2 linked regions of the Daphnia pulex genome follow. The protein of the gene in region 1 purifies or fractionates together with the protein of each later gene. This does not show direct contact. Links are inferred from orthologs where the notes say so. Each region holds a gene or a part of one and is shown in the gene's direction. Other genes may lie near its edges. The genes, in order: cell cycle checkpoint control protein RAD9A-like and replication factor C subunit 5-like.

Evidence for each region.
Region 2: the proteins of cell cycle checkpoint control protein RAD9A-like (region 1) and replication factor C subunit 5-like purify together in Homo sapiens (affinity purification with mass spectrometry; 3 studies listed by BioGRID and IntAct, with this or other methods). This does not show direct contact. The link is inferred for Daphnia pulex from reciprocal best matches to the Homo sapiens genes RAD9A and RFC5.

The regions. Positions count from the first base shown.
Region 1 is NC_060026.1:14,698,952-14,703,207, forward strand, and holds cell cycle checkpoint control protein RAD9A-like, read left to right. Parts: upstream 1-1,591; 5' UTR 1,592-1,799; coding exon 1,800-1,833; intron 1,834-1,903; coding exon 1,904-2,127; intron 2,128-2,186; coding exon 2,187-2,351; intron 2,352-2,410; coding exon 2,411-2,514; intron 2,515-2,574; coding exon 2,575-2,799; intron 2,800-2,868; coding exon 2,869-3,062; intron 3,063-3,118; coding exon 3,119-3,438; 3' UTR 3,439-3,610; downstream 3,611-4,256. Other genes in the region: lipopolysaccharide-induced tumor necrosis factor-alpha factor homolog, read right to left, coding at 566-674, 741-835, 897-964, 1,047-1,140; squamous cell carcinoma antigen recognized by T-cells 3-like, read right to left, coding at 3,650-3,978, 4,046-4,138, 4,209-4,256. UniProt on the Homo sapiens protein: Component of the 9-1-1 cell-cycle checkpoint response complex that plays a major role in DNA repair. The 9-1-1 complex is recruited to DNA lesion upon damage by the RAD17-replication factor C (RFC) clamp loader complex.
Region 2 is NC_060019.1:3,436,388-3,440,944, forward strand, and holds replication factor C subunit 5-like, read left to right. Parts: upstream 1-1,503; 5' UTR 1,504-1,728; intron 1,729-1,793; 5' UTR 1,794-1,848; coding exon 1,849-1,939; intron 1,940-2,014; coding exon 2,015-2,098; intron 2,099-2,169; coding exon 2,170-2,213; intron 2,214-2,310; coding exon 2,311-2,473; intron 2,474-2,542; coding exon 2,543-2,702; intron 2,703-2,773; coding exon 2,774-2,910; intron 2,911-2,979; coding exon 2,980-3,054; intron 3,055-3,435; coding exon 3,436-3,513; intron 3,514-3,581; coding exon 3,582-3,742; 3' UTR 3,743-3,810; downstream 3,811-4,557. Other genes in the region: kinase suppressor of Ras 2-like, read right to left, coding at 49-202, 264-512, 574-859, 919-1,092; pyruvate dehydrogenase [acetyl-transferring]-phosphatase 1, mitochondrial-like, read right to left, coding at 3,990-4,313, 4,480-4,557. UniProt on the Homo sapiens protein: Subunit of the replication factor C (RFC) complex which acts during elongation of primed DNA templates by DNA polymerases delta and epsilon, and is necessary for ATP-dependent loading of proliferating cell nuclear antigen (PCNA) onto primed DNA.

The DNA.
Region 1 (4,256 bases):
TTCTATTAATGGGTAGGTTAATCCCCAAAACCATGTTGTTTGTATCTATGAAATAGCGGGAAACATTTAATAAGCATCGTTTTGGTTCTTTTTTAACTTTTTTCCATAGGAATAACATTTTCTATATATTTAACGAGCAGCATAAAAATAATTAATAAACTACGGCACTGCAAGATTCAAATTAATTTAAAAAAATTCAGTTAAGAAAAGGAATATAGGTTTTTTGTCCCAGTCGAACAAAACGTTTTTCAATGAATTTAAAATTTAAATTACAAACGACAATTTTAATATATTCGAAGTTTATTCATTGATAAATTTTGGTGATAAAATTAACACGGCGTATCTTTGATTTTAATAAGTAAGCGGAGTAGATATTGAAGCAAGGTACGAATAATACAACGTTCAGCATTTCTATTGTTTGAAATTTTGAAATTGAAAAGCTTCGTGTAATTAGGAAAAAGGTAAATTTTGGCATACAAGATGCAACAACCAAATTTGCCAAAAATGAATATGAAATTTAACACACAGAAAGAACCAATTGCCTCTTCATAGTAAGAACATTAGCTTAAAAGTGGCTGTATCTCCCCAAGTATGCTTTGCAATTTGGACAAGCATGATGAACATTCATGCACTCAGGAATACAGCAGGGGATAAGGCAACAGCCCAACCAACATCTGGTAATAAAAATATATGTGTTATATCAATGTGTAACTCTTAAGAAATTGCTGACTGTGTAATACCCAAATAGAACTAAAAGACCTCCAGAAAGCCAGGCAATCAGACCAGGTTCAGTACGCACAGAAGTGTCAATTTCAGCATGGCAATGTGGACAGACCTGTAAAGAAAGAAGATAGAGAAAATAAAATATATAATTAACTGTGGAGGGAAAAACTAACAGTGTGTGTTGTTCCGGGTCCAACAGGTATCACGGTTGTCACAATAATAGGCTGCTGGTTGGTTACATCTATTAAAAGAGATAAACATTGTGATTTTGAATGTGAGGCACATTTCCCATTAAAAGTTAAAATACTAAAAAAATGCTTTACTTTGATGAGGAGTAAAGGGGCTTGATGGATTAACACCACCCACTGCTTCCATGTAAGAAGGAGGGGCAGCTGGAGGAGGACCTTGTTTACTCATCTGTGAAATAGTTTATGGAGAATCCAATGAATTATTGGTAAATTGGTAATCAGAATATCAGACCAACATTAACTTCAATGTTTTGTATTCTGAATCATGAAAGAGTTTAAATTTTATTTGTTATTACCTTAGAAAGTCATGCAGTACAAGTAAGTTATTCACAAACGTTTACACTCTGTGCTCTAGTTAACACTACACAGCTGTTCTTAAGCTCCGCCCCATGACTTTTCAGAATGTAATCAGCAGGAATTGGACAGCGGAAAAGCTGATGTAATTGAAAGTCTTCCAATGTTTCAGAATGTTATAATTGAAAACCATTGATAAATCAAGGGGAAAAAAAATTTCCTTGAAGTACCTCAGCAGATAAGACCGTCTTCTTTATCTATGGTTAAAAGTACAATCAAGTTTCAGTGACTTGCAGATGTGGCCGAAATAATACGAGTCACGCTCGTCACTTGTTTCATTTGTTTACATCTTCAGTGAAGATAAAATCTCAACAGCCAATCGGGGCATACTTGAAAAAATTCATTTCCGTGTCGTCTGCGTGCTAAACATTCTAAACGTGTTATCCGGGACATGGGGTTACCGATATAATTTCTGGCGGCATTTCGAATTTTTTTTTAGTGCAAACAACTAAATTTACATTGAAGTAAAGAAAAATGAAATGTCTTTTGGATGCAACCAGTGTTAAGGGTACGACATGATGTTTCATTTGATTGTACTAAAGCAGTTGAAAGCTAAAACACTTTCTTTTATTCTTTAGTTTTGGCGCGAGCCATACACTCATTGGCTAAGATAGGTGATGAATTGCACATTTCACCAATGGAAAATGGATTAACTCTGAAGACCGTCAATGCTTCCAAATCTGCCTATTCAGCTTTCAATTTTCACCTACCTTTTTTTCTTGACTACACGCACATAAGTGAAAATACTGTTCACGCTGATCCAGAAGAAGATACTGTGATTAAATGTAAACTTCCCATGAAGGTCTGACAAATAACTTTAATGTGAAGTATTGTGTGTTTACAATGATGTTTTGTTTCCAGTCCATCTTGTCTGTATTTAGGTCGATCGGAAGCTTGGAAAAATCAGTTGAAACATGTAAGATAATGCTACCACTTCTTGAGGCTCTGTTAATCATTGAGTTCAGGTGCAAACATGGAATTGTTAAGTACTTCAACTTAAGATACTTTGAATGTGAAAGTGTTGAAGTAAGTCCTTTGATTTGGTCTCGCCAGACTTTTAATGAAAATAACCTAAAAATTCATAGGCAGAATTCTCTAAGGAGGGTTACCCCAGTAAATTTTCCTGCTCTTCACGTTTTTACAATGAAACTCTTCAAAGTTTTCATTCAAGCACTCAAGAAGTTACTTGGTAATCCAACAACATAATTGTCATGTTTAAATAACCTCAAATTTCGTTTATTCTTTCAAGGTCCCTTGCAATGGATCAAGTACATTTGAGTAACCATATTGATGATGAAATAGACCCATCCAAATGTGTTCGTACGGAAGTCACGTTGGTCAAGGATGAATTCATTGAATTTAACGTCGCTCTGTGTACTCAAGTTACATTTTGCTTGAAGGAATTACGAGCTATTTTGGCCTTCGCAGAAGCCCTGAAACTCGATCTTGATTGTCGAATGGAAGGCGCCGGACAGTAAGCAATATTTCATTTTACTTGTGATTCAAAAGTTGCATCGATTATTTACGGAATTCCTTCTACCAGGCCTGTTTTGTTCAGTCTACAAAAGGATGACTTGTATTCAGCAGATTTTCTCCTTGCAACTCTAACGCCTGCTCTGGACACTACGGCATCCATTAGTTCGCGAACTGCCAAACACGAAATGTCAGTACAAGGCAATACCTCCAACCATCCGTCTCCTGTCCCTACCCTGAGGAATAAAACAGGTAACAAAACAGGCTTGAAAGGGAAGTCAGGATCTTGACATACATTGCTCTCCTCGTGAATTTTCTAGATTCCAGGACCATTTCGCGTGCCAATTTGGTCGATTCTAGGAACGGTTCTCGTGCAAGCACGACACACACTCGTTTACACACACCTTTGATACGACAAACGCCTGTTAACGAGGATCATACCCCACGTCTTAACAGTCTATCTCTTATCGAGCCCCATCCGTTTCCTGATATGGAAGTAGATTTGGAACCCGAAATTCAACCACCTCCTAATAAGAGAGCTCGGGCTCGCTACATATTTCAGAATTGTCTCAAGTTAACACAAGAATACAGAGAGCGACCAACTGAAGTCTTTGCTCCGGATTCAGAGGAAGATGAATAGCAAGAGACGAAATAACCCTTTCCCGGCTTTCCCCTCATCCAACGATTTTGTACATTTTTCTTTCGCCGAGTTAACTCAGTATTGTTTTGTGTCAGAATTTTGTAACGGTACATCACTGTATCCTATATAATGATCACAAAAGTTAAAGTGCCATTAAATGTTGATCAGTCCATTTTTTATTTATTCGTGCCATTTCAATGTCATTTTCAAATTATTTCTTTAGAAGCATGGACCGGAAATCGGCATTGCTCTTCGAAGCACTGGCGGGAACACTGACGGGTGGCGGCATGGTGGAAGACTGAGATGTCTGGCGAAGGACGGCGTTTGGAACAAACGACACTTGCGTTCTCCTTACCCGTGTTCCGCCACCCAAAGATAGTTCATCCTTGTCCAGGTTTCTGTCTTCGCGACGTGGAGGTGGATTGCTTAACGCAACCGTCAAAACTTTGTCCTGGAATGTAGTTCCGTCTGTCTGGTTCATAGCCATCGTCGCTGAAACTTCATCTTCGAATTCAACGTAAGCCAGACCTTTGGGCTTTCCTTTATATTTAATTAAATAGAAGTTAGTAAAGAAAAAATAAATTTAATTTAGATTATTAAACGCTACCGTTCCGTAACGTTACTAATCGAACGTCCTTCAGAATTCCAAATTTTTTAAACAGAGCTTCCAAGTCTTCTTTAGTAGTAGTGAAAGCTAAGCCTGTTATAACATCAAATAGATTTGGGATAAAAACAAATTAAGCTCGTACCTAAAGATCGCAAATACGTACCTTTGATAAACAGTTTTTTCTTTTCTAATGTTGACTGGTACTTGAAAG
Region 2 (4,557 bases), on another chromosome or scaffold:
TTGATGCGCTCAGATTTTCGAATAATAAAAGGAATAGTTTTTTTTTACCTGATAATATCATTTCCGTCGATTCTATTGGCTAGCTGGGATTCGTGGGAGGTAGATTTCGTAAGAGGGAAATCCGTCAATAGTGGCGCAGTACCACCAATAACCTGGTTTTTCTTGCGAGGTGGTGGAGTTGCAGGGAATTTCATACGATCTCCTAAATTGGAATTTCATTAGTTTCAACCACGCTAGTTAATAGCCGACTCCATGTATTTTACCTCTTCCTTTTAATAAAGATGGAGTAGAGGGAGGGCTGCGGTTTTCCGAAGTCATTTGCGGAATGGTTTCATGGGCAGTTATTATACTTTGAATGGGGGATGAATTTTGTATAACACTGTCATTGTGCTGTATGTTAGAGGACATTGGCATTGACATTTTTGTAGCATTATCCCAGGAATCCCAGTAAAGCGCTAAGTCAGGTGTTGTTCGGCCACTATTACCTTCCTTTTCATTATGTACCAGAACTTCTGCAATGTCAAAGCTCTTAGAGTTGGATCAGTTAAACATTTTTATAAATGAATATCTTACCAGTATATCTCTTAACACTCTGAAGTGCTCTTATCAAGCGCCTGTATTCATCTTCTTTTGCAGAACACTCATTGAAGATCCTTTTAATTTCATGATCACTGAGTTCTTGCAAAGATTCAAGAGATTGAAATTTGGCACACAAGGTTTCAACAGATGGCTGAGATATTCCAACAACTTGAAGCCATTGCTTGATTGACGGAATGTTTTTGACTTCATATGGTAATCCCTCTATGGGAATTTTGGCTTTTGCAACTAGCTGTTTGCTGAATAATTTGACTAGTTTACCCTGTTAAAATATTGAAATGATTTAATTCAGAAAATTCTTTTAAATAGTAAACATCTTACCTCTATGGTTCTGATTTCTTGTTGAATCAACTCAGCACTGGTAGAGCACTGGGTTCTCAACCCTTCTAGATGTTTAGCATGAATGTCTATCATTGCATTGATATCTAAGAGCGTTTGAATGGTGTTACAGCTGTTGACCACAACAACAGCTTTCTTTGTGATTCCAGTATCCATTCTTAAGGGTATCTATATCTAGTACTTTGGTTGTTATTGCAGAACTTTACGTACGAAATTGCATATTATTCAGACGCAAACCGTCAACACTCAAAGCTCTTCGGACTCCCGACTAATCATGTTTCCAAAGGCTTCCTCACCCACCGTACTTCTTTGTTATATGACTATCCAATGTTTTAGAAATCCATCGCGGTGTATAAGCGGTTTAAACGAACGAAAATGCACAGAGTTCCAATTTCGCAGACGCCATAACAACAATAACTAATGCCATCATAAGCGAATGTATTGCAATACATTACAGTCAGTCAGTATCAATAGAATCACTGATTATTCCATTTTTTCCACTACAGTCCGCGTACTTCTGCATTGTGTAGTAGCCATCTATGGTCCGAAAAATTAAACTGGTGTTGAATCGAGATTTAGTGTGATTTAATGTTATCAGTTATAAAATATTGTTCAATTCATTTGGTCTTGTAAAATACGGTGAATAATTTTATTTGTATGGATTTATTATTTTATTTTAAATGGAATTAGTTTTGTAAATCGATTAAATTGGCATTGGTGTCAAGTCAAGTTACTTTAGGCGCGCTTTACTTGTCTAAGAAGACGACGTGCATTTAGTTCCATACAATTTCGGTTTGTTTTTAATTTAATAAGTTTAATCAATTTAAAAACTAACAAGTTATAGAACATATCTGTAGGAAGTACCTAAATAATCATAATAAGAGGCCTCTGGTATCTAGAGTTTCTTCGGAAATGACTTCCTCGGGAAATCTGCCGTGGGTGGAAAAATATCGACCAAAACAGTTGGATGACTTGATTTCTCACCAAGATATCATTTCAACAAGTAACTCTCTATATAATTCTATTAATTTTCAAAAATGTTTCATTGCATTGCATTTTCTCTAATAAAAATTTGCAGTTCGCAAGTTCATAAATGAAAATCGATTACCTCATTTACTTTTTTATGGACCTCCTGGAACTGGAAAAACAAGCACCATTCTTGGTATTAATATTCAATAAATATTACATTAGATTTTATTTCATGATTTGACTAATCAATTCATTCAAAATTAGCATGCGCGAAAGAACTGTATACACCCCAGCAATTCAATTCCATGGTGAATAATGTTACACAATTAAAATATCCATGTTATATTACATTCTTTCTTAGTTCAAAGACATCCTACAATCTAAAACTTTTTATTTTATGTGAAGGTTCTTGAACTAAATGCTTCTGATGACCGAGGCATCAATGTTGTAAGAAATCAGATCATGAGTTTTGCTAGCACAAGATCAATATTCAAATCAGGCTTCAAACTTATTATCTTGGATGAAGCTGATGCTATGACTAATGATGCTCAAAATGCACTTAGAAGAGGTGATATTTTAAAGAGATCCAACTAGTTATTAAATAAATCATTACCATTTCATGATACATTTTTTCTAGTAATTGAAAAGTTTACTGAAAATGTTCGGTTTTGTCTCATCTGTAATTACATGAGTAAGATCATACCAGCTATCCAGTCACGCTGCACTCGTTTCCGATTCGGCCCATTAAAATCAGATCAAATTTTACCTCGGATGAATTACGTAATTGAAGAAGAAAAGTAAGAGGAGAAAATTAAACTATTCTAATCAAACATTTATTAAACTTTGTAAAATCTTTTCTCCAAATTAGAATTAAGGTCACGGAAGATGGGCGTCAAGCTTTGTTGAGCTTAGCTCATGGCGACATGCGTCGTGTCATAAATATTCTTCAAAGCACCTCAATGGCTTTTGATGAAGTGAATGAAGATCATGTTTACACTTGCGTCGGTATGAAAAAAATGATGTATGCTAATGATTCATGGAAACACATTTTTAATTCTTATTAAATCCTGCCAGGTCATCCTCTTAAATCGGATATTGCAAATGTTGTTTCGTGGATGTTAAACGAAGATTTAACTTCAGCTTATAGCAGTAAGATTTCTGCTCTAGAATTGCTATAAGCTTTTTTTAAATCTGGGGTTGCATGACTAACTTATTTTTAGTTGGCAATCAGCATAATTGAGGGTTTTTTTGGCGGCAGGGATAGTAGAATTCTCATCGTTCCTATAAATGGCTGAATATTAATGTAGGAAAATTCAAGAATATTAAGGAAAGAATGAGTTGGCGAAAGAGGTCGGGGTATCCATTCTACTATCCTTTCCGTCAAGAAAAAATTACGTAGACGAATTTGCCTTCTAAGGCTGGCATGACTGTATATATTAATCAGAATCATGTTCTGGAAATTTATCAAGACGTTATTTATCGCCTAGTCATTAGAAATAAAGTTTCTGTTCGTTTTTATTTTCATCATAGAAATACGCGATCTTCAAACTTTCAAAGGCCTCGCTTTGCAAGATATCTTAACTGAAACGCACTTATACGTTCACAAAAGTAAGTTTTTTTTTCCCCCAATAAGCTCTACAACTGTTAAATTAATTTTGGTTGTTTTTGTGGTCTAGTCGAATTTCCGCCGAACGTCCGAGTCTTTTTACTGGAGAAGATGGCTGATGTTGAATATCGTTTGTCTGCGGGGTGCTCTGAAAAATTACAACTCGGATCCTTGCTTGCTGCCTTTGATTCAATTAAATATTTAATTGCTAAAGAAGTGTCAGTAAATTAAAATTATCCTAATCTAATTCTTCTGGTGTAAGGAGTTGTACTTCCTGAATTACATCAACTATTCATATAGTATGTGTTTCCATCAGTTGTATTTACATTCTAAACAAAAACAACCTCAGATCAGATGCCGAGGTGGAGTAAGGGCTCGCTGACTAGGGTATGATTAAAATATGACAGTCTCGATACAATGAATGAATAAGAGATAAAGAACGAGTACTCACGCAATACGTTGTGTCACAAGCAAAATCCTATTCCTGATTTGTTTGGGGAAGAGATTTCAATAGGTAGTCAGTGTCGAAGTAAGCTACAATGATGGTGATATCATCTCTGAAAAGCCTAACAACGTCATCTGGCAACGAAAGGAGCTCTGAGAGACGATCAGGATCCAATCCTGTTTCTGTCGAAGCTAAAGCATGCCGAATCAAATGTGTTGCTGCATTGGTGTCCAATGGTCTCTTCGATAATCCTTCTCTTCGCTGCTGCAGCATGTTGTTGATTTCTTCCAAGGTAACATCACCCGGTGGAAGAGTGAGAGGACCCAGCGCGACTCTTCCCGACATGTGCTCTCCCACCTATTTTCAAAATTCAAATTTAATTTTACATTTATGGTTATTACTAAAATTGATGTATCTGACGTGACGTCAACGTCTTTCACATGCTGGATTATTTGAACAAATTCAAAAGCAAGACCAGTGACGACTATGATCTAATATCAACAAACCATCAAGCCCTACTTACCAAGCGGACAACTTGTGTAGGCGAGAGCAGATCCCATAAGCCGTCAGATGCAATGACGACAAATTTATCTCGAGGACT